Linked DNA regions of Macaca mulatta. The protein of the gene in region 2 purifies or fractionates together with the protein of the main gene of each other region. This does not show direct contact. Links are inferred from orthologs where the notes say so. Each region holds a gene or a part of one and is shown on either strand. Other genes may lie near its edges.

What was found.
Region 1: the proteins of RHOD (region 2) and PLXNB2 purify together in Homo sapiens (affinity purification with mass spectrometry; 3 studies listed by BioGRID and IntAct, counting the BioPlex papers as one, with this or other methods). This does not show direct contact. The link is inferred for Macaca mulatta from reciprocal best matches to the Homo sapiens genes RHOD and PLXNB2.
Region 3: the proteins of RHOD (region 2) and DIAPH2 purify together in Homo sapiens (co-immunoprecipitation; 3 studies listed by BioGRID and IntAct, with this or other methods). This does not show direct contact. The link is inferred for Macaca mulatta from reciprocal best matches to the Homo sapiens genes RHOD and DIAPH2.
Region 4: the proteins of RHOD (region 2) and DAAM1 purify together in Homo sapiens (affinity purification with mass spectrometry; 3 studies listed by BioGRID and IntAct, counting the BioPlex papers as one, with this or other methods). This does not show direct contact. The link is inferred for Macaca mulatta from reciprocal best matches to the Homo sapiens genes RHOD and DAAM1.

The regions. Positions count from the first base shown.
Region 1 is NC_133415.1:1,171,271-1,175,819, reverse strand, and holds the end of PLXNB2 (plexin-B2), read right to left. Parts: coding exon 4,408-4,549; intron 3,737-4,407; coding exon 3,672-3,736; intron 3,536-3,671; coding exon 3,460-3,535; intron 2,551-3,459; coding exon 2,476-2,550; intron 2,403-2,475; coding exon 2,298-2,402; 3' UTR 1,566-2,297; downstream 1-1,565.
Region 2 is NC_133419.1:7,349,032-7,354,752, forward strand, and holds the start of RHOD (rho-related GTP-binding protein RhoD), read right to left. Parts: upstream 3,759-5,721; 5' UTR 2,034-3,758; coding exon 1,902-2,033; intron 1,545-1,901; coding exon of another isoform or gene 1,484-1,544; intron 1-1,483. UniProt on the Homo sapiens protein: Involved in endosome dynamics. May coordinate membrane transport with the function of the cytoskeleton. Involved in the internalization and trafficking of activated tyrosine kinase receptors such as PDGFRB.
Region 3 is NC_133426.1:103,641,527-103,647,280, reverse strand, and holds the start of DIAPH2 (protein diaphanous homolog 2), read right to left. Parts: upstream 3,293-5,754; 5' UTR 3,076-3,292; coding exon 2,944-3,075; intron 1-2,943. UniProt on the Homo sapiens protein: Could be involved in oogenesis. Involved in the regulation of endosome dynamics.
Region 4 is NC_133412.1:132,442,464-132,447,641, forward strand, and holds part of DAAM1 (disheveled-associated activator of morphogenesis 1), read left to right. Parts: intron 1-384; coding exon 385-718; intron 719-1,330; coding exon 1,331-1,441; intron 1,442-1,553; coding exon 1,554-1,657; intron 1,658-2,869; coding exon 2,870-2,936; intron 2,937-3,158; coding exon 3,159-3,276; intron 3,277-3,706; coding exon 3,707-3,845; intron 3,846-4,130; coding exon 4,131-4,189; intron 4,190-5,178. UniProt on the Homo sapiens protein: Binds to disheveled (Dvl) and Rho, and mediates Wnt-induced Dvl-Rho complex formation. May play a role as a scaffolding protein to recruit Rho-GDP and Rho-GEF, thereby enhancing Rho-GTP formation. Can direct nucleation and elongation of new actin filaments.

The DNA.
Region 1 (4,549 bases), on a different chromosome or scaffold from region 2:
GCTACCCCTCCTCACTGGAGGGGTGTGACAGCCCCTCTCTGATCCCCCAGTCCCTCCCAGCTGGCCTCTTCCTGCAGTCAGTGAACGTCCTAAAAGGCAAATCTGGCCTTGCTCACTGGGGGACCAGGTGATGGTGGGTGCGGAGCTGATTTAGCAGAGGACTTGTCCTGCCGGTAAGAAGCAAGCAGGATGTAGCCCTGGGCTGGTGAGCTACCCACTGCCTCTCCTCCCACCACTCTGGGAGGAAAATGGGACTTGGAAAGCACCAGGAAGGACAGGCCACCCCTCGTCTGTCCCCAGATGATCACTCCGGCCCACCCATGTGCACCCCAGCAGCTATGCCCGGGTTTTACCCATGCCGGCCCCCACCTGGGTGCTGGACTGCTGGGCCTGCAGCCTCTCCCCAGCCCCAAGTTTCACGTGTGTGGGGTCTCACTGAACCTTCCCTTCTTTCCTGACTGCCCAGTGAGACAGGGGTCTAGTACAGAAGCCAGGCCTCCAGGTCCCCAGCCCCCTGCACGATGGTCTGCAGGGGTCTAGTACAGAAGCCAGGCCTCCAGGTCCCCAGCCCCCTGCACGATGGTCTGCAGGGGTCGAGTACGGAAGCCAGGCCTCCAGGTTCCCAGCCCCCTGCACGATGGTCTGCAGGGGTCTAGTACGGAAGCCAGGCCTCCAGGTCCCCAGCCCCCTGCACGATGGTCTGCAGGGGTCGAGTACGGAAGCCAGGCCTCCAGGTTCCCAGCTCACTACCTGAGACCTGCCACTCAGCACTTCAGACTTCGGTCCACCCCCTTGCTCTGATCTTCTGACCAGCCATGTCTCTGGGAAGGGAGGAACCCAATGTCATTTCAGGGGTCCCTAGAGCAGGGGATGTCAGTTTGCCTTGTACCCCTTTCTCCTGTGGGGGAGAGAAGGCCACCCGTTTTTCATCGTGGCTTGAATGGAGGTGCCCCAGTCCAAAGGGGACTCGAGCAGTGGAGGCCTTGCCCATCAAGAGACCCTGGCCTTGATGTGCCCCAGTCGGGGAGACAGGCTGGGGCTGCCTGAGAACGGATCCTCGTGAGTGGGTCAGCAATCCAGACCAGCAGAACCTCAGGATGTGTGCCTAGATCCAGCCACATCTGAAGCTGGGCCTTCACTTTGTGTCTGGAGCACTGAATGCCCCTCTGCCTGGGCTGTCTGTATTCTTGGTGCACAGGGGAGGCTCCGAGCCCTGCCTGTCGTGGTTGTTGCTGTTCCTAACGCTCAAGACAGTGCATGCGTGGTGTGCAGTGGCCATTTGGTAAGAATGTGTTGCATGAAAGAAGCAGGAGGCCATGGAAGCCACCAGATGGCACCAGAAGCAGTCCTACCTTCCAGCACCCCCCACCTCCCCCAAGCACCCCTATTAGCCCCCTCCACCTCCCCCTAGCACCCCTCCCAGCCCCCTTCACCTCACACGAGCACCCCTTCCAGCCCCCTCCACCTCACCGCAGCTCCCCTCCCAGCAGGGCCCACAGAGCCCAGGGAAGGGGTGGTGAACAGGGGCACCGCAGCCCCAGTAGGAACTCAGCCAACCCACAGAGTGAAAAAGACGACTGTATTTGATTTACAATGAACAAGATTTACAAAAAGGGGTAGGGTGGTCTTGGTGGAACTGCTCCCAGTCCCACTGGACTGGGTGGGGCTCTAGGGCAGCCTGTCTGACAGACCAGGACCCCAGGATGTCTGGGCCCCGATGCTGGACTTGACCTACGACTCGACCTTTGACGTGGGGCCCAGCAGCCGAGTCCACCCAGAGTGCCGGCACCCTTGGGAGGCCGGTGAGGTCAGCAAGGCATCGTACCGCTTTTTCTCCTCCTCCCATCCCGAGGTGGACAGACGGACGCAGGATCTGGGAGCTTGCCCTGGGGGCCACAGGCCCTCAGATCCCCAGGGGCCCAACCCAGGGGCATGGAGGCGGCTGCTGGTGCGTGGGCGGAGGCGGAGGCCAGCTGCCCCCAGCGTGGCAGCGTAAGGCACATTTTCAAATCACTCGAGACTCGACAGTGAACACCCGATGCTGGTTCTGCCGCCGGAGGGAGCTGGGGCTGGGGCCGGGGCTGGTGCTGGTGCTGGTGCAGCGCCCAAGCGGTATTGCTCAGAGGAAGATGCTACAGTCTAGACGTTGGGTGGGTTCCTGCTGCACCCACTCCCGCATGGGGCGCGTTCTCCGGGGGAGGGTGGGGGCCTCAGCCACAGCCACTTGGCCTCCTCCCCTGAGGGGCTCTCAGGTACCTTGGGTACCTATGCCCCAAGGCAGCACTGGAGATTGGAGGTCAGAGGTCAGTGACCTTGTTCTCCAGCGCAGCCGCAATCTGCTGCAGGCGGAAGGCCAGCTGCATCTTCTGGGCGGCGGGGTCCTCCTCCAAGGCATTGATGATCTGAGGGAGAGTCCCATCAGAGCACATTGGGGGATCGCCCGGCCCCCCCCCGCCCCCAGGGGCCTGACCCTACCTCGTCATAGTACTTCTGTGTGTATTGGTAGAGCTGGTGTAGTGCCACGAGGGTGTTTAGGGAGTCCGTGTGTGCCTGCGGGGTGACGGGACGGTCAGGGCAGAAAAGGGGCTGTGGGAGCCCCAGGGCTGGCAGGGGTAGTGCAGGACGCCCAGGACAAGAGGCCTCCCCGGGGCAGCAGCTGGGGCCTTGGGCACAGGCAGCACTTAGGGCCCCCCATGTGGCGTGGCCTTAGACACCCACACAGACAGAATCCTGCACACACAACCATCTCAGTGTCTTCTTGTGTGATGCACGGCTGTGGGTGGAGTCACAGGGAGGGGGCGCTGTGGGCATGGCTGTGGATGGACCCACAGGGAGGGGGCGCTGTGGGCACGGCTGTGGGTGGTGGAGCCACAGGGAGGGGGCGCTGTGGGCACGGCTGTGGGTGGTGGAGCCACAGGGAGGGGGCGCTGTGGGCACAGCTGTGGATGGACCCACAGGGAGGGGGCGCTGTGGGCATGGCCGTGGGTTGAGCCACAGGGAGGGGGCGCTGTGGGCAGGGCTGTGGGTGGACCCACAGGGAGAGGCACTGTGGGCATGGCTGTGGGTGGACCCACAGGGAGGGGGCGCTGTGGGCATGGCTGTGGGTGGAGTCACAGGGAGGGGGCACTGTGGGCATGGCTGTGGGTGGAGCCACAGGGAGGGGGTGCTGTGGGCATGGCTGTGGGTGGAGCCACAGGGAGGGGGTGCTGTGGGCATGGCCGTGGGTTGAGCCACAGGGAGGGGGTGCTGTGGGCATGGCCTGGCTTCAAACAGCTCACACTCCCCACACACAGCACGCTCAATTCACATGGCTGGGCCCACCTCGAGGTCCCACCCCACCCTCTCTCCCCCTCAACACCATTTAACCCCTGCCCTGCAGCTCAGGGCCAGGCTCAGCACAGGTTAGTAGGAGCCAGGAGCAGGGGACGGCCGTGGGTGCGTCCCTGGTGGCCTCCTTACCCGGGAAATCTCTGCCAGGTGTGTGTTCATGTCCTGGTCGCTGACCTGCACCATCTGCCGGATGCCCTTGTAGTAACTGCAGGGGTGGGAGCATCACAGTGTGGGCAGCGGGGGACACAAAGGGGGTGGTGGGAGAAACCAAGGCCTGAACCTCCCCGCAGGGGGTCGAGGGTGGGCACGGGGGCCTGGCCTGGAGGGCGGGCAGCACTTACTCCTCCACCATCTTCTTGTAGGTGGAGATCTCCTTGGCATACAGCAGCTTGTTGCTGGGAGAGTCCTGTCGGGGAGAAAACCCAGTGATGCCTGGCCAAGGGGCCCAGGCTGGGGCCGCTCAGAGTCCCCCTGGGTAGCCTCCCCTGCCCTGAACTGACACTTTCATCAAGAAAAGTATAGGCCGGGCACAGTGGCTCATGCCTGTAATCCTAACACTTTAGGAGGCTGAGGCGGGCAGATCACCTGAGGTCAGGGGTTCAAGACCAGCCTGCCCAACATGGTGAAACCCCGTCTCCACTAAAAATACAAAAATTAGCCGGGTGTGGTGGTGGGCACCCGTAATCCCAGCTACTCGGGAGGCTGCGGCAGGAGAATCGCTCGAACCCAGGAGGCGGAGGTTGCAGTGAGCCCAGATCGCGCCACTGCACTCCAGCCTGGGCAACAGAGCAAAACTCTGTTTCAAAATAAAAAACAAACCAAAACAACTACTTATTTTGTGATCTGTAGTAAAACTCAGTTTCTCTGCTTGGGTACTGTGGGAGAGGGCAAGTGGTCTCGGGATCTCCCAGGCTCTGCTGGGCGCCTGTGCCCCCAGCCTCGGCCACGCGCCACCCCCTCATCAAGGGCTCCAGCCCAAGATGTGCAAATCCACACCCCAGACAAGCTCCCAGCTCACAAGATGCTCCTGGGGCAGACCCAGGCCTCCCTGCCCCGACCTGTCCCCACCCCACTCACGCGGCTCAGCTTATGCTCCGTGCGCGTGCAGGCGTCCATGAAGGTCTGGGCGATGACTGACAGCGAGGCGTCCACCACCTCGTGGACGTGCACGTCGAAGATGAAGTGGGGGTTCTTGAGGATGTTCACCCAGAACCGGAGC
Region 2 (5,721 bases):
CCTGGGTGCCCTCATTGTTGGGTTCCCATGGGCAGCATCCAGAAACATGTTTCCCCCAACTTAAAAAAAAGTATGACTGATCAAAGGAGGTGACATGAGCTCCACAAGCCACTAAACAAAAGTGACTCAATGCCACTGCAGCAGAAAGCCATGGCGGGGCCCAATACAGCCCGGGGGTCACAGCCAAGGGTGGGAGACAGGCAGGACATCATCGTGATAAGAACTACAGTGTGATAAGAACCAGGGTAGGCCCGACCCGTCCTGCTTGTGCTCAGATGCCCCAGCACCTGTACAACCCCAGGGGTTTTGAGGATGCTGGGAAGAAAAGAAGGAAGAATGCCAGTTGCGGTGGCTTAAGCTGGTATTTCCAGCACTTTGGGAGGCTGAGGCGGGCAGATCGCTTGAGGCCAGGAGTTCGAGACCAGCCTGATCAATAAGGCAAAACCCCGTCTCTACTAAAAATAAAAAAATTGGCCAGGCGAGGTGGCTCACACCTGTAATCCCAGCACTTTGGGAGGCCAAGGTGGGCGGATCACGAGGTCAAGAGATGGAGACCATTCTGGCCAACATGGTGAAATGCTGTCTCTACTAAAAAAAATACAAAAATTAGCTGGGCACGGTAGCACGCACCTGTAGTCCCAGCTACTCGGGAGGCTGAGGTGGGAGAATCACTTGAACCTGGGAGGCGGAGGTTGCAGTGAGTCGAGATTGCTCCACTGCACTCTAGCCTGGGTGATAGAGCGAGACTCCGTCTCAAAAATAAAATAATAAAAAAAATTAGCCAGGCGTGGTGTTGGGTGCCTACAATCCCAGCTTCTCAGGGGGCTGAGGCAAGAGAATCACTTGAGCCGGAGAGGCGGAGGTTGCAGTGAGCCGAGACTGTGCCAATATCACTCCAGCCTGGGTGACAGTGAGACTCTGTCTCAAAAAAAAAAAAAAAAAAAAAAAAGAGATGCTGGGAGCAACTCCATGGACTCCCAGGACAACAGAGCTGAGAGGTGGCAGAGCAGGGGCCACCTGGTGCCTGTGGAGTCTGCCTGGGCAGTCAGCATGTCAGGAAGGATTAACAGTGGGCATGCCTACAGCGCCAAGGACGTGCCAGGTACCGCACCGGAGCTACCTATCAGCCTTCCCTGGGCTCCACCTCACCACCGCCCTACAGTCCCTCTACCCCATGGGGTTGTTGTGAGGAAACTGAGGCTCAGAGAAGCTAAGCAGGTTACAAAAGGGCACGGGGCTCATAAGAGGAGAGCAGAGACGCGGTCCCAGCAGCTGAGGCTACAGCTGGTGTGCTCTGACCCTCCAAGGAAGAGCCCATGGCACATGCATTCCAGCGGCAAGAGCTGGAGGGGAGAATATGTTTCCCAAGAGTGACATGTGCCAACTCTCCGTGAGTACTTCCTGTGCGCAGCCCGGGGCTGAGTGCTTGACGTCTATTAACTCACTGTCACAGTGACCCTGTGCGGTGGGCGCTGTCACTCACCTGTGATGTAGTTAGGGACACGGGCACAGCGGGGTTAGGGGACGCTCGCAAGGGCACACAGCTGTAAGTGGCAAAGCCATAATTTTAACCTAGGCAGTCTGGCTCCCAAGCCCTCAGGCCCTCTTGGCGGAATTGTGCGGCCAAGTGCTGTCTTAGGATCTTGTGTGCACCCAGGTCGCCTCACTCGGTCCTTGTGACACCCCTCCCCGGTAGGTGCCATTCCTCCCGCTTTACAGATAACATCACTGAGGCCTTCATTCCCACTGGCTGGGGGAGAAGAACTCTGCCCTGGACTCCAGGCCCCGCTGGGAGACCCCTCGGAGGCCGGGGCAGACGCACAGCCTGGGCCGTCCGGCACGGACCTGCACACCCGGGCGCGGGAGCGGAACCGGGCGAGGCGGAGACGCCGGGCACTCACCTCGGGGAAGGCCCCATCGGCGAAGACCATCAGCAGCGACGTCTTCCCGCAGCCGCCGTCGCCCACCAGGACCACCTTGACCGACCGCACGCCTGGTGGCGCCTCCTCGCCCGCGGCCTGGGCCGCCGTCATCCCGGGGTCGGGCGCGGAGAGGGCGGGCGGGCGGCTGCAGCGCAGGGACCCAGACTGCGCGGGGCCGGCCCGGCGGGGCAGGCCCGGCGGGGCAGGAATGTGGAAGGGGCGGGGCGGCGGGAGGAAGTGCGAGCCGGGCGCCCCGAGAGCCAGGTGAGACGCCCGGGCGGCTGGGCTGGGGCCCTTCCTCTCAAGGCCGTCTAGGTCCTTGAAGAAACGCTGCCCGAACACCTACTGTGAGCGGGCCGCGCTGGGGCCATGGGAGGTCGGAAGGGAGAAGACAAACAGCGGGACCATGACAGTGTGGGCGGGGGTGTGCTCACGGGCTGGGTCCCAGATCCCAGGCAGGAGCCAGTGACCTTTACTGAATGAGTGAATGAATGGTGCATTTCCCCAGGGGGCTTAGGACGGAGCACAACACAGGCGTTTCATGCCAGGTGGGAAGCGGATGACCCCCTTCACTGGCCCTACCAGGCCTGGCCTGCCTCCCTCCGCCAGCACCAGGAAGTTTTGCTGAAGGTGGGCAGCCACCTGACACCCTGGCTGGCCACGATCTAGGGAAAGAGATGGAACCTTCCCTCTATAAAGTGTGTTTCTTATTATTGCACCATGAGACGTCCTCCTGGTGCCCAAGGGCCTGGGGACCCTGAACTGTTCAAGATAAAATCTAGGCCCTGCCTTGAGAAGCCCACAGCCTAGAATAGTAGACAGGCAGGACATCAGTGTGATCAGAACTACAACGGGGGTAGGGACAGGCAGCGGGACAGGAGTAGGGGAAAGGAGCTCCTCGCCCAGGTTGAGTGAGTCAGGAAGCCCTTCAGAGTCTTGAGGAAAAAGTGAGACACAGTCAGATGGGGGAGGGAGAAGGTGTTCCACAGGAGAGAGCGGCAGGGGCGAGGCTGTGGAGGCCGGAGCAGAATGCTGCCCCCCTGCCCCCGCAGAGGGTGAGTCTCCCTTGCACAGTGGTGCAGCAAGAGGAGCTGGTGCTTGCCCAGTGGAGCACTTTGGATGCCAGCAGTAAATCCAGCATTGGACTGGGAACTCATTGTCACCTGATCCCTCCACTTCTCCTAATGGCCAGAGTTGAAATCTTTTAAAAATGGGCACAAGGCTTTGGGAGGCCGAGATGGGCGGATCACAAGGTCAGGAGATCGAGACCATCCTGGCTAACCCGGTGAAACCCCGTCTCTACTAAAAAATACAAAAAACTAGCCGGGCGAGGTGGCGAGCGCCTGTAGTCCCAGCTACTCGGGAGGCTGAGGCAGGAGAATGGCGTGAACCCGGGAGGCGGAGCTTGCAGTGAGCTGAGATCCGGCCACTGCACTCCAGCCTGGGTGACAGAGTGAGACTCCGTCTCAAAAAAAAAAAAAAAAAAAATTGGGCACAAGGGTCTTCCCAGATCTTGAACTGAGTGTTTATACTGAAACTTAAAAGAATAGGGGGCAGACATCATTAGGTTACCCCCAATTTATGCTGGTCATGACATCACCCCTTATGGAGTTCCAAGTCAGGCACGTGAAAATGCACCTTCAACCTCCTTTAAACTTACTGTGGTCTAAAGAGGCAGCCAGGGCAAGAGTCACTACGTGGAGAAGCAGAGTCCAGCTCCTTAACTCCTCTGCCTGGCTCCAGGCTGTGGTCCACAGGCTGGATGGAGCCCCACTTGGAGGGAAGGAGCCTCCCCAGGACAGCTCTGCCTTCCAGGTGCCCCTTCCTCCCCGAAACTGCCATAGGGCTGGGCAGTGACTTGACACCGGGCTGGGCAGGTAGCTCCTGAGCAGGGCTCCCCGCCCCAAGGAGTGGTGAGAGGGGCCCCACCCCCTCGGATCAGCTGTCAGCGTCATCCTCCCCATTGCTGTTGTCATCAGGCCTTGGGTGGCAAGGCTGGAAGGCAGGTGGGGCCAGACTGGGGGTGGAGGGAGCCGAGAGTCAGGCAGAGGCGTTTGGCCTTGGTTGCTATAGGGATAATCTCTGTAATGACACACTTGATGTCTGTCATGCTGTACAGTTTCACTGAACATTTCCTAATAATAACAGCACCCATTAATGGATTGCAAGCCACATGTAGGCACTGTTCCCTAGGAGGTAGGGACTCTTAGCTCCATTTCACAGATGAGGAGCCTGAGACCCAGAGAGGCTAAGTTGTTGACTAAGATCCACAACTAGTAAGAGGCTGAACTAGAATTTGGATCCAGGTGTGACCCCAAAGCCAGGCTGTCTCCCTCCATCACACCTCATCTGTGCAATTGCAATTTTGTTCAGCTCTCAGACCATGACGTCAACCAAGCAGATGACCTGCTTCCCCTCATTTTACAGATTTGGGAACTGAACCTCCGAGAGAGGCAGAGGGGTGTCTTAGGCCAGCAGGACACAGCCAGGATTCGATCTGCCCCAGCCTCACCGCCCCTGAGCCCCCCACCCCCCACTATGCTTACGCTCTTGCAAGAGGGAACTTAGTCACCAGGCCACAGAAATTGGCTCTAGTCGGCAGGGAATGTCCCTGAATCTCAGACATTTGTGGACCTGGGACTGTACTGTTTTCCTGGAATTTATTTTTAGAGTGGTGGACCAGGTCACACAGTCTGCCTGGCCAGGGTACTGTTTACTGTTTTTAGTGTTTACTGAGGCTTCTCAGGACTTGCAACCTGTGGGTGACTTAGGCCCTTTTAGGCCCCACCAACCCCAGGCCCAGATCTGTGGGGAGCCCAGCACCGTGGCCTGCTGCCCTGAACCCTTCAAGGGCAAGAGTCAAGGCTCACTTGTACCCCCTAGAGGAGTGCCTCTCTCGGGCTGGCACCCAGCTGTGGCTCAGGATGGTATGTCCAGTTGATCGCCTGGCCAGACAAACCAAAAGGACAAGGAGGAGAAGAGCAGAGTGAGGAAGAGAGGAAGGAAAGAAGGAAGGATGGACGGAAGAGGGGCTGACTTACAAGAAGAAACAAAGTGAAGAAATGAATAAAAGAACAAATGCTTGCATTGATGACGAATACCACATGTGACATGAATGGGGAATGTGTGGACAGGTGACCACTCTCCAGCCTCTGCCTACTCCAAGGCCCCCTGGCCTCACCCCTGTCCCCATTTTCTCACAGCCCACCCCCATCCTAAGGCCAAATCCTGTGCGGTCCTGATCACGTCTCCACTGCCCTCATGTGGTTGCTCAGCTCCCTGCGCAGTCATCACCAGGGGCTGCCTCCCTGCTTGGGGTTCTGGACTTGGGTGTGTGGGATGTTTGTGGATGGCTGAGTGAAGGGGAGAGATACAGTCTTTCCCCTTGGAGTGGCTTGGCAGGGTGCACGGGGCCCTGGTGTGTGGCTCCCGAAGTCCTTAGTTCTGCATGCATCTCCTGTCCTCTGCTCTCTTCCTTATGTTTTTTTTTTTTTTTTTTTTTTTCCCATATGGAGTCTTGCCCAGGATGGAGTGCAGTGACGCGATCTCAGCTCACTGCAACCTCCACCTCCCAGGTTCAAGCGATTCTCCTGTCTTAGCCTCCCGAGTAGCTGGGATTAGAGGCACCTGCCACCACGCCCAGTTAATTTTTGTATTTTTAGTAGAGACGGGGTTTCACCATGTTGGCCAGGCTGGTCTCAAACTCCTGAACTCAGGTGATCCACTCGCCTTGGCCTCCCAAAGTGCTGGGATTATAGATGTGAGCCACTGCGCCCAGCCTTGGCCCACTTTCTTTCAT
Region 3 (5,754 bases), on a different chromosome or scaffold from region 2:
GGGTGCAGTGTTATGCATCAATATTGGCCTCTCTTAATGGTTAAGTCACTGCCTTAAATAAGTGGGATTCAAGATGTAGTTCCTTCATAACACTTACAGAGCTTTCTCTTCTACTCAATTTAACAAAATGCATTCCATGGTTGACATCAAATTACAAATTAATCTAAGATTCATGCTGTTTGATGACATGTTGCAATCTGGGCCTAACCAAAATAGTTACATAAAATCCAAAACTCTACTACTAATGCATTATTCAAAATGTGATGAGTCCAAGACAGGAATGCCTTATTTTAAAAGAATCAAAATGAAAGGGTCATTATGAGGATGCTTATATGAAGAAAACTGAAGTGAATTTCATTAAATTTTTATTTAAGTAATCTTAAATAGAAATCATTATAATGTTGAAATGCCACTCTGCAAAAGTTCTCACTAATACTCATTAAAAAGTTGAGGATATAAATGAAAGCAGTTCCTCTCCATAGAAAATATGCTTTGCAGCCTGACCAACATGGTGAAATCCCATCTCTACTAAAAATACAAAAATTAGCCGGGTGGGGTGGTACGTGCCTGTAATCCCAGCTACTTAGGAGGCTGAGGCAGGAGAATCGCTTGAACCTGGGAGGCAGAAGTTGCAGTGAGCCAAGATCGCGCCACTGGACTCCAGCCATGTCGACAGAGCGAGACTTCGTCTCAAAAAAAAAAAAAGAAGAAGAAGAAGAAAAGAAAATATGCGTTCCATTTCCGTTTCTCCAGATTTCTGAGGAGCTAAATGAAAACAACCAGACTACATAAGCCTTATACCTTAGGAATCCATTATACTAGAGCGACTGAATTAATTTTCCTCTGTAGTGGAAATTTTAATCTAAGCTATGTAGACATTGAGTAGTTAACTTCTTTTTTACCACCACAAGAATCTGTTTCAATATCAATCACCTATGTGTTCAATGCCATTTCCCTTGACCACACAGTGGAATCAACTGTCCTTTACTTTCTATCTTTTGTAATGCTATAGTTCTTACTCTTCCATAGGTAATGGATACCTTTGAAAAACTGATGAAAGCTATGGGGCCCAGAAAAATAAATGTACCCATATACACTCAAATATTTTCATACAATTTCAGGAGTTTAAGAACCTCTATCCCCCAAGATCACCTACACAAATAATTTCTATCACCATATGGCTCTCTTTTATAATCCCACACCACAACTCCTTTACACTCATATACACACGCAAATTAAGGACTAGTTCAGAGATTATTAACATAATACTCAAAATAATAAAATTTCATCTAAGTAAAGTTTTATCTTACTAGCAAACTTCTAAGAGTCCCAGATGAATTCTTTCCTGAAAAGCTTACTAAATCTTACTGTTTGGTCAACTTGCTTGCCTTAAAATGTGCCACAATGTCTTCCTAAATTTGTTTTTGTTAACTCTGACACATCTGCTTGTAAAATCACATAAGGCTCAAAAGTTACGTTCGAGCAAAAAAAGAAAATTCGTGTCAATATTAACAAACTCTTGGATTCAAATACTTGTTCTACCGTATCAAGCTATGTTCAACACGGAACAGTGAAGTTAGCTAGGAACTGAAAATGATACAATCTCATAACTATCTAGTTACCTTGTCAAAGCAAGTAAAACATAAAAGATGAAACAGGACAAATGGCTAAAGGGAAGAGAAGAATACAATCAAGGTGTTACTACTAACAGAGATAAGTGTTTTGTTTTTTTTTTCTTTTCTCGAAAGCATACTTGTTTTAAAAGTGCAGATTCTTGCTAGAGGTACCAAACCATTTGTGGAAAGTATCAGTTAACTTTTTACTTAAATTTTTAATCACTGATTAAGCCACAGTTTTGTACTGGATCCAAACCAAATGGCCAGATGCCACAAGAAACGGCTTTATTTATATGTCACCCTCTCCTTGTCTATTACAATCAAGTTGGTAGTTAAAGCTGAAATCTATACATTCAACATGTGGCTTGTGCTTCAGATCTGGACTAAGAATACAGCTATAAGGAGTATCTGCTGAATTTGTACAGGAAAACCCTTTCCCCTCACACCACCCAAATTAGAAAGTTTACAAAAAGCGGAACCTTTCTGAGGAGTTGAGGAAACTCCAGTATTTCCCAATGCAATACCAGGCCTCATCGATTTCATTCCTCTGCACATTTCAGTGGCAGGAAATGGACTGCTACCACCGGTTCACACTATCAGCACAGTGAGATTTGCACAGTTTGTGCCTACTGCTTTTGAGCGTTCTTAATCAACTAAGTGGAAGTACTGTACGACTATGCCTATTACACACACTCGACAGTTGGTGGTACCTCACTCAGCCTTCAACTCCCACGCGCCCCCACCCTTCCAAAGAAACGTTTCTTGGGAGAGCACATGGAGAGAGGCGAGGAGGAGGAAAAAGGCACGTAGGCGCCTCTTCCTGAGATTTCTGGTAAAGTAGAAAGACTGGGAGCATAAATAGTGCTCTTCTTGATTTGCATAGCTGTAGGTGGGCTCCCAAGGACTTGGAATAAAAAGGAGGGAGGTTCCCCTGCCCCAGACCCTACGCGTTAGGAGGCAAAACAGCAACTGACAAGAGGTGGGAGGAGAATGGAATCGCGCAAAGGCTTGCGCCCACAAGTTAGACAAACAACAGCCCTACCCAGTACTCGGGGTGTCCCCAAGTTGGGGCTGGGCCTTTCTCCTTCCCGCACCGCCTCCCGGGCTGACTACAGTGAGAAAGGGGTTAAGTAGAGAAGGGGTGCTCTTCCGCCCCCACGCCGTCTCCGCGCCTCGGCGTGGCCACTCCTTTAGCGGCTCCCCGAGTTGCACAGCGAGATCGCGGTCATCCTTGGGAGGGGGCCCCGGGTGCCCCCGTGTTCAATGGCAGGAGGATCCCGGGGCTCTCCCTGTCCCTAAGGCCGGCGGGGGCTGCGGGAGCACTCACCAATTTGGGTTTGTTTTTCGTTTCCTCTTCATTGGCGGCCCGGTTCCCCGCGCTCCGCTTGTTGCTCCGGCCCCCACCAGGTTCCTCGCTGCCGCCTCCCGCTCCCGACGCCGCCGCCCCGGGCTGCTCCATCTTTCTCCGGCCCTGTCACCTGTGCCCTGTAACCCCACCTCTCCTCAACTGAGAAAGCACCTCGGGGCGCTCACACTGCCCCGCGCTGACTCGGCGGCACCTCTTCCTGAAGGAGAGAGTGTCTGCCCGGGAAGCTGCCGATTTCAGGCCCCCGGGACTCCAAGCTCCCAGGCACCCCCGACGCAACCACGCCGTTGCCACTACTCGGCGCTGGGGCAAGCCCTGCCCCTGAGCAGTTGCAATTACCACGGTCGCCGCCGCCCTCAGGGCGGTGTTTAGGGTGGAGGGAAAAGTAGGTGCCTATCTCTTTAAGAGGGCCTCAACACACGTGATTCTTCAAAGTGCCCGCATCGGCCGCCCGGGCCCGCAAAGCTGCTTCCTACTCCCGGAGCGGAGCCGGCCCCAGCTACTGAGCATGCCCGGCGCGACGACTGGAGCCTAACAGAGGACTTTCAGCTGCGGTTAGGCACTGATTTCACTTCCTAGTGGCCCAGCGAGAACAGGGCGGGAACTAGTCAAGAGAAAGGAAGGGTAGCCCATTTTAGAGATGGGGAAACTGAGGCCCGGGAGGATCCGCCTGTAAGTTTCACTGGAGGGTCAACCAGAGTATCAGCTTTCACTTCTGTGGGCCAGAGCACCTTCCCTCCCTGAGGCCTCTCGGGGGTGTGGTCCTGCTACACTCTGTGGAAAGACTTGATTGGCAAGGGAACTGGCATCCTATAGGAAAACCACCGGGAGTACTGATTAATTGCCTCGACAGACTGTGTGGGTCAGAGTGGGAAGAGTGGGTGCTTTCTGTTGCCGTGATTACGTTGTGACCGAAGAAATACAGTTGTTCCTTTATTCCCATGCTGCAGGGTTGTTGAAGCAGCAGGCGCCCACCACTTAATCCCTAGGGGATTGTTAGGCTCTTTAACCAAAACACTTATATACAGCTAGCAATTGAATTGAGTGCTGTTTTCAGTTTCCTGAACTAGTTTAGAGTTGTTGTGGGGAGTGAATAAGATCATGTGTGTCAAAGCTTGGTTGTAAATGAAAATCCCTAGACAAATGCTAGGTGTTTTTGTGCAGCAGCAGCAGCAGCAGCAGTAGCAGGGCACTATTGGGACGATAGTCTTAAGTCCTTGTGTCATACCTAGCATTTTGTCCTCAGGACAAAATACAGTACCCACACTGTATTTCTTCCATCATCTTTAAATGATACCCTTTAAAAGTAAAGGTACACACTGAGAGCATTAGAGGGGGTGGGTAAGATTTGAATTAACCACCATCATAGAATAGGAGCACATATGCTAGGAAAGCTACCTATAAAGTACATTTAAATATGAAATCTATAAACATGCCATACATCTATTACTGAAGATATCTCCAGACTATGACTCCTTTTGACCTTCTCCCCTTCAGCCTAAATTTAATATGCGGAATGGAATTTGTATCTGAACATATTTATTGAGAGTGCATTAGGATGCATTTGACCATGCTACAGGTGCGAAGAGACAGCTAACTTGGGCAGTAGAATGAAAAGAACACCAGATATCTGAAAACAGCTTTAATTCCAGCTTTGTCATTGTCATTAACTTTCTTTTTTTTTTTTTTTTTTTTTTTTTAATTTTGAGACAGAATTTCCCTCTTGTTGCCCAGGCTTGAGTGCAATGGCGCAATCTTGGCTCAGCGCAATCTTGGCTCACCGCAACCTCCGCCTCCCGGCTTCAAGCGATTCTCCTGCCTCAGCCTCCCAAGTAGCTGGGATTACAGGCACCCGCCACCATGCCCAGCTAATTCTGCATTTTTAGTGGAGACGGAGTTTCTCCATGTTGGTCAGGCTGGTCTCAAACTCCTGAACTCAGGTGATCCGCCTGCCTCAGCCTCCCAAAGAGCTGGGATTACAGATGTGAGCAACCTCGCCCGGCCAACTTTCTTTTTAACCATGGAGGTGTGACTTCTCTACTCCTAAGGTGGCAAGCTACCAAAGGACAGCAGAGAAGAGGGAATACATGCTCCCAAACAGGGTGGTTAAGGAGCCACATGGTAAATTTGCTTTGTTGAAGTTTCCGTTTTACTTAAAATTTAGTGTATATTTTGAATTCAACTCACTACATACACACACACACAAACACAATTTATATAAATGTCTCTTCTCCTGAAACATTGAGTCAAAGTGGATGCTTCAGAAAGACGTGACCTGTTTAGCCAATGCTTGCATGTAATTCCTGTTTGAGCCATAGGTGTGGTCCATAGCTGAGGGCCCTCCAAGCGCAAACAGCGTTCAGTAATCTGCCCAGCAGATATTTCTTCAACTCCTTAGAGTATACTAGGAGATACAGAGTGTCATGAGTAAGAAGAATGAAGATGACACAGTTTCTGCCTTTTAGAACTTTCAGAGCCTACTGGGAGAGACAGACCATTAAAGAACTGCACTGCACTACAACAGATGTGAACAGGAAGCCTTTGAAGCACATGAAAGAGGTAACTATCGGAGTGTCAGAGGCTCAGGGACACCTTCCCAAAGAAGATGATGTTTGAACTGAGTCTTAAGGGTCTGATTCAAGTTAACATTTGTTGGCAGCCTACTAAGTGTTAGGTAATGTGCAAGGCATCATGAGTACAATGGTGAACAAGACAGACATGATTTGCTCTTAGGGAGTTTTTACGCTATTGGGAAAGATAAATATATATGAC
Region 4 (5,178 bases), on a different chromosome or scaffold from region 2:
TTTCTGAGTATTCTCTTGCTTCTGATTTTTTTTTTTTTTTTGAGGCGGAGTCTCGCTCTGTCACCCAGGCTGAAGTGCAGTGGCGCGATCTCGGCTCACTGCATTGCTTCTGATTTTTTATGAATATACGATCTGTTGTTTGGTTCTTTGTATCCATTGAGATATGTTTATCACAAATGGAGGGGGTTTTTTTTCACACTTTTGGTTAGACCTGACCATTGGGTCTGTGCCAAGGAAGAGGCATAGAATTAAAAAGGCTTCATCAATGTAGGGCTTTTGGCACGTTAGGAACTAAATCTTTCCCCCACCCTCCAGACTTTTCTATTAGGGGCTATTATAAAACCCCAAAGGCACTTAAGTGTGGTGCGCTTCTCTTCATGACAGGTTTGTAACCAGATTCATCGACTTGGATGGCCTGTCGTGTATCCTCAACTTTCTAAAGACCATGGACTATGAGACCTCAGAGTCTCGAATACATACTTCTCTCATTGGCTGTATAAAGGCGTTAATGAACAACTCTCAAGGCCGGGCTCATGTCCTGGCTCATTCTGAGAGTATTAATGTAATTGCTCAGAGTCTGAGCACAGAGAACATTAAAACAAAGGTGGCCGTGCTGGAAATCTTGGGCGCCGTGTGCCTGGTTCCCGGGGGCCACAAGAAGGTTCTGCAGGCCATGCTGCACTACCAGAAGTATGCCAGCGAAAGGACCCGCTTTCAGGTGGGTGTTCCCTTAGCCTTCTTCACTCACCCCTTCTTTAAAGTCTGCTCAAACACGTGCTTTTCCTGTCCCTGAAGGGGGAACATTACTTGAGATGTCCCCTTGTGGTGATTACTCACAGTGTGATTTAAACATTCCCTTCTTCTTAGGTTTAAGAACCAGAGAATAGAGTATACTTTCAATAGTTGATCAATCTGGGCCTTTAGATTTGCAGAACTTGAAAATGTGGCCTTTCATCCTACATGTCATACAGCACACATCTTTTGAACCCACCAAACTGAGTGTTTCCTGAAAATTTTATAGCTTGCCATTCTTGAATTAGGATCAATATGAATAATTTTTCATATTTCACTATATTACTCAGATGTAAAAAGCAAGCAGAGGTAATGAAGCAAAGGCTTTTGTATACGTGTATGTATGATGTAATAATTTTGAAATTAGAGTTTTTAGGACTCTTCTTAAGGAGAAAAAGGGTGGCTTTCTATGGGTCAGTGTAATCCTGACTAAACATAAGATTTTAAAAGTTAATTTTTGTGTATAAAAAAGTTCATAAAATGAGCATAAGGTTAGTAATGTTTCAGGCCTTTGTTTTTATATTTGTATTTTTGATAGACATTAATTAACGACTTGGATAAAAGCACTGGGCGGTATCGAGATGAAGTGAGTCTCAAGACTGCCATCATGTCCTTCATTAATGCAGTGCTCAGCCAAGGTGCAGGAGTGGTAAGAACCTTCCACAAATTAAAAATATATTAGTAAAGAATAATTTATAAAAAGTGATTATTATGTAGTCTAAAAACCACAAATACATATTTTATTGCCCTTTTATTTTCAGGAGAGTTTGGACTTTAGACTTCATCTTCGCTATGAATTTCTGATGTTAGGAATTCAACCTGTAATAGATAAATTAAGGGAACACGAAAATTCAACATTAGATAGGTAAGTCAGACTGTTAAGATGTGAGAAAGTTTCGGTGTTTTCTATCTGTGTAATGCAGTGCCTCATCAAGTGCTGGCCTGTGGTTACTTGTGCCCTGTCTGTAACATAAAGAGCTTGTATCAGAATGTTAGTTCAGCTAATGACGTCTTTATAGTAAGACTTTGTTGATGAGGGAAGCAGCACATTATGTAGAGAACTTAATGTGGGTTTTAGCGTTAGACCTGAATTCATATCCTATCCTAGTCCTGCCTCTTACTCCTGTGTATCCTGGTGAAGTTACTCAATTTTTCTGAATTTTGCTGTTCTTATAACTGCAAAAAAATAGTGCTGGTGGTGATGATGATAATGACAATTATTTTCCAAGTCTGTTGTAAGAACTGACTATAAAACCTATGGAATCACTTAGCCCCTTTGATAGGCATTCTGTGAATGTTAATTTCCACTACCTTGTTCGCTTGTTTCCTTGTTTGCTATCATTTCACTATGTCTAAGCTATCCCAACTTGCTTTCAGAGCTTTTCTCTACCACGTCTCTCCTCTCCTGTATATTCATATACTCCAGCATGCTCTTCTCCTTGATATTCTGTGAACATGTCAAAAACACTCTTGCATCAGGGCCTTTGCACTTGCTATTTCCTCAGCTTCGAAAGATCTTTTGCAGATGTCCAAATTGTTTGTTCCCTAGTTCCCTGGAGAGAGACCTGTTCTAACCACTGTGTGTACATTATTCACCTCACCTGCCATCATTTTCTATTTACTTTACATAAAATGTATCCTGGGTGTGTAGAATACATAGTAGGAGTTCACTAAATACGTGACTGAATAAATGAATGGCACGATCATTTCTTTTGTGAGCTTTAATTCAGCTGGAAGTTAAGTATAGGTATATGGGCATGTTTTTCTATAAAGGGAATCCATAGTGGAATCTGAACTTGATTGCTTTTAAATTTAGTTTTAATTTAATAATTGCCTACTATATGCTAGGCATCCTAGACTTTTAAATTTTTCTCATATTGTGATCTGTTTCACTCAGGTGATGTCTTTTTTTCTTAGAAAGAACGTAGTTAAGTTGAAGCATTCAAATTTTATTACATTGTTTCTTTTGAGATATCTCTGAAAAGTCAGGAAAAACCATGGTATTAATGTCCTCGGTCTTATGCACCTGTGTTTGTAGGATGTTCTACTTAATAATTTTTCTTTCATTATTTTTCAGGCATTTAGACTTTTTTGAAATGCTCCGAAATGAAGATGAACTAGAATTTGCCAAAAGATTTGAACTGGTTCGTATGCTTACAATTATTCTGGTTTGACTCATCAGTTCACATTATTTCTCTTTGTGTGTTGTAGAGTCCACATGGACCAATTCTGCCTAAAAGCAAAATCAAAGCTCTGTTTTGTTTCCTAAGTGGCAGGATTAGCTTCTGTTTGCTTTGAGTTTACTTTACACTGGGGGAATTGAGGAACTTAGATGTTTGATTTGATTTCTTTTTCCTATAAAATAGGTTCACATAGACACAAAAAGTGCAACTCAGATGTTTGAGCTGACCAGGAAGAGGCTGACACATAGTGAAGCTTACCCACATTTCATGTCCATCCTGCACCACTGCCTCCAAATGCCTTGTAAGTGTGTTTGTGACTCATGTGTGCTTCTGAATGTTTGGACATTGGCCAAAGGGTTCTGGCTCCTGCACAGTGCTGATTACATTGGATGCACACCAGGGATTCCAAGCCTTGGTTTTATGACAGCCCAGTATGTGTGTCTACATGGCTTAAGGGTTGTTACAAAATTTTTTCAATGAAACAAATTAAAATTTTGATTTTAAAAATAAAAAGTATGCCTTACAATCTGTTTAGAAAGGGGTTGAGGGTGCCTCTCAATCAAATAAATGATCATTGCATGTCAAAATTCCATACTTTGGGAAGCATTGGTGCAGATGTTACAAACATCTCTCTGGTTCGGTGGCTCTAAAGGGTGACCAGCACTGACAAATATTTGTCCTAGCTTAGAAACAACTTGAAGATTTTTTTTCACTCTTCTTTTCTTTTTTAGACAAGAGGAGTGGCAACACTGTTCAGTACTGGTTACTACTAGATAGAATTATACAGCAGATAGTTATCCAGAATGACAAAGGACAGGACCCTGACTCCACACCTTTGGAAAACTTTAATATTAAGAATGTCGTACGAATGTAAGTCTTCTCTTATTCTGCTGCCTGTGAGATAATAGTGACAATGTAAGATATTTATTTTATCCAACTTCAGAGTAACAGCTGGGAGAGCCGAAATGTTCTAGGGGTCAAATATGAGTTACTATACACCTGCACTATATCTAAGTAACATCTGGTCTTAAATGGGTTTCAAGCATGCACTGAGGATTTTCTCTGCAGTAGACTATTTTTGTACCTAGGGAGAATGCAGTTAGCAGTGGACCTTTTATATTTTTTGTAATAAATGCTCCTTGAACTCTTATACAGGTTGGTTAATGAAAACGAAGTTAAGCAGTGGAAAGAACAAGCGGAAAAAATGAGAAAAGGTAAATAATAAGGGCCTGATAAGAGAAGAGGCTGTGTTATTGGTTATTGGGTGACCTTGATTTCCAGATATTTTGAAAATTTACATTGATGTTTCTTGACTTGGTGCAAGCAGCCTTTCTTTTTCCATCTTTTAAGGGAATTTTGCACTGGGCTTCTTAAATTGAGCTATTTTAGTTGTCATACTGATTCTCAAATATCTTATCCTTTTATTATAATCATGTAAATATTTTGAAAAGCTTATAGCATTTGCTGTTCAGTATTCCTTAAATCAAATTTTCTTAACTACTAGTAATCCAAACCTTTCCCCTACTCCGTCGTGGCTCTTTAAATCATACTGGGTTTTAAGAAATGTAATAAGGGACTTGAGGGATTATCCAAAATTTTAAAAGAGAAGAACAGGTCACTTGGTTTCAGTAATCCAATTCTGTCCATGACCTTGATTTGGTACCAGTTATAAAAAGGGAAGTCATTCAGAAAATCAGTGACCATTGCTGAGATATGTGTTATGAAACATTAGCTGGCCAGCTATTAGTGTGTATTTGAGTATGTCTTTGATATTATCTCTCAGTATCAAATGATAGGAGAGACATTTATGTCCATCAGTGTGCCAGCCATACAGAGAAATGTATGTAATTTTCCTTCCTGTTTTAAAATATTAGCAAATTGAAGTTGGCGCCTTTGTGGAAACAGTCATACTGCCAGCCACCATGCTCTCACCATACTGGTTAACTGACTTCCTTTTCCTTTTCCAAGTTATTCACTCACAGCCAATGAAATACAATAGCGTTCACCCCAATATTTAATGTGCTGAAAAGCAGGTCCAAGAGATGCCTAAGCATTTCCTTTTCTGTCATCACATTTCCATTGAGCAGAAAAGCAGGGCCATAACTGATATCAGAAAATACCAAATGTGAACTAACTGCTGTTATGTTTCGAGTTCCTCATATGTATTCAGATTGCTCTCAAATAAGTGATACTGCACATGCAT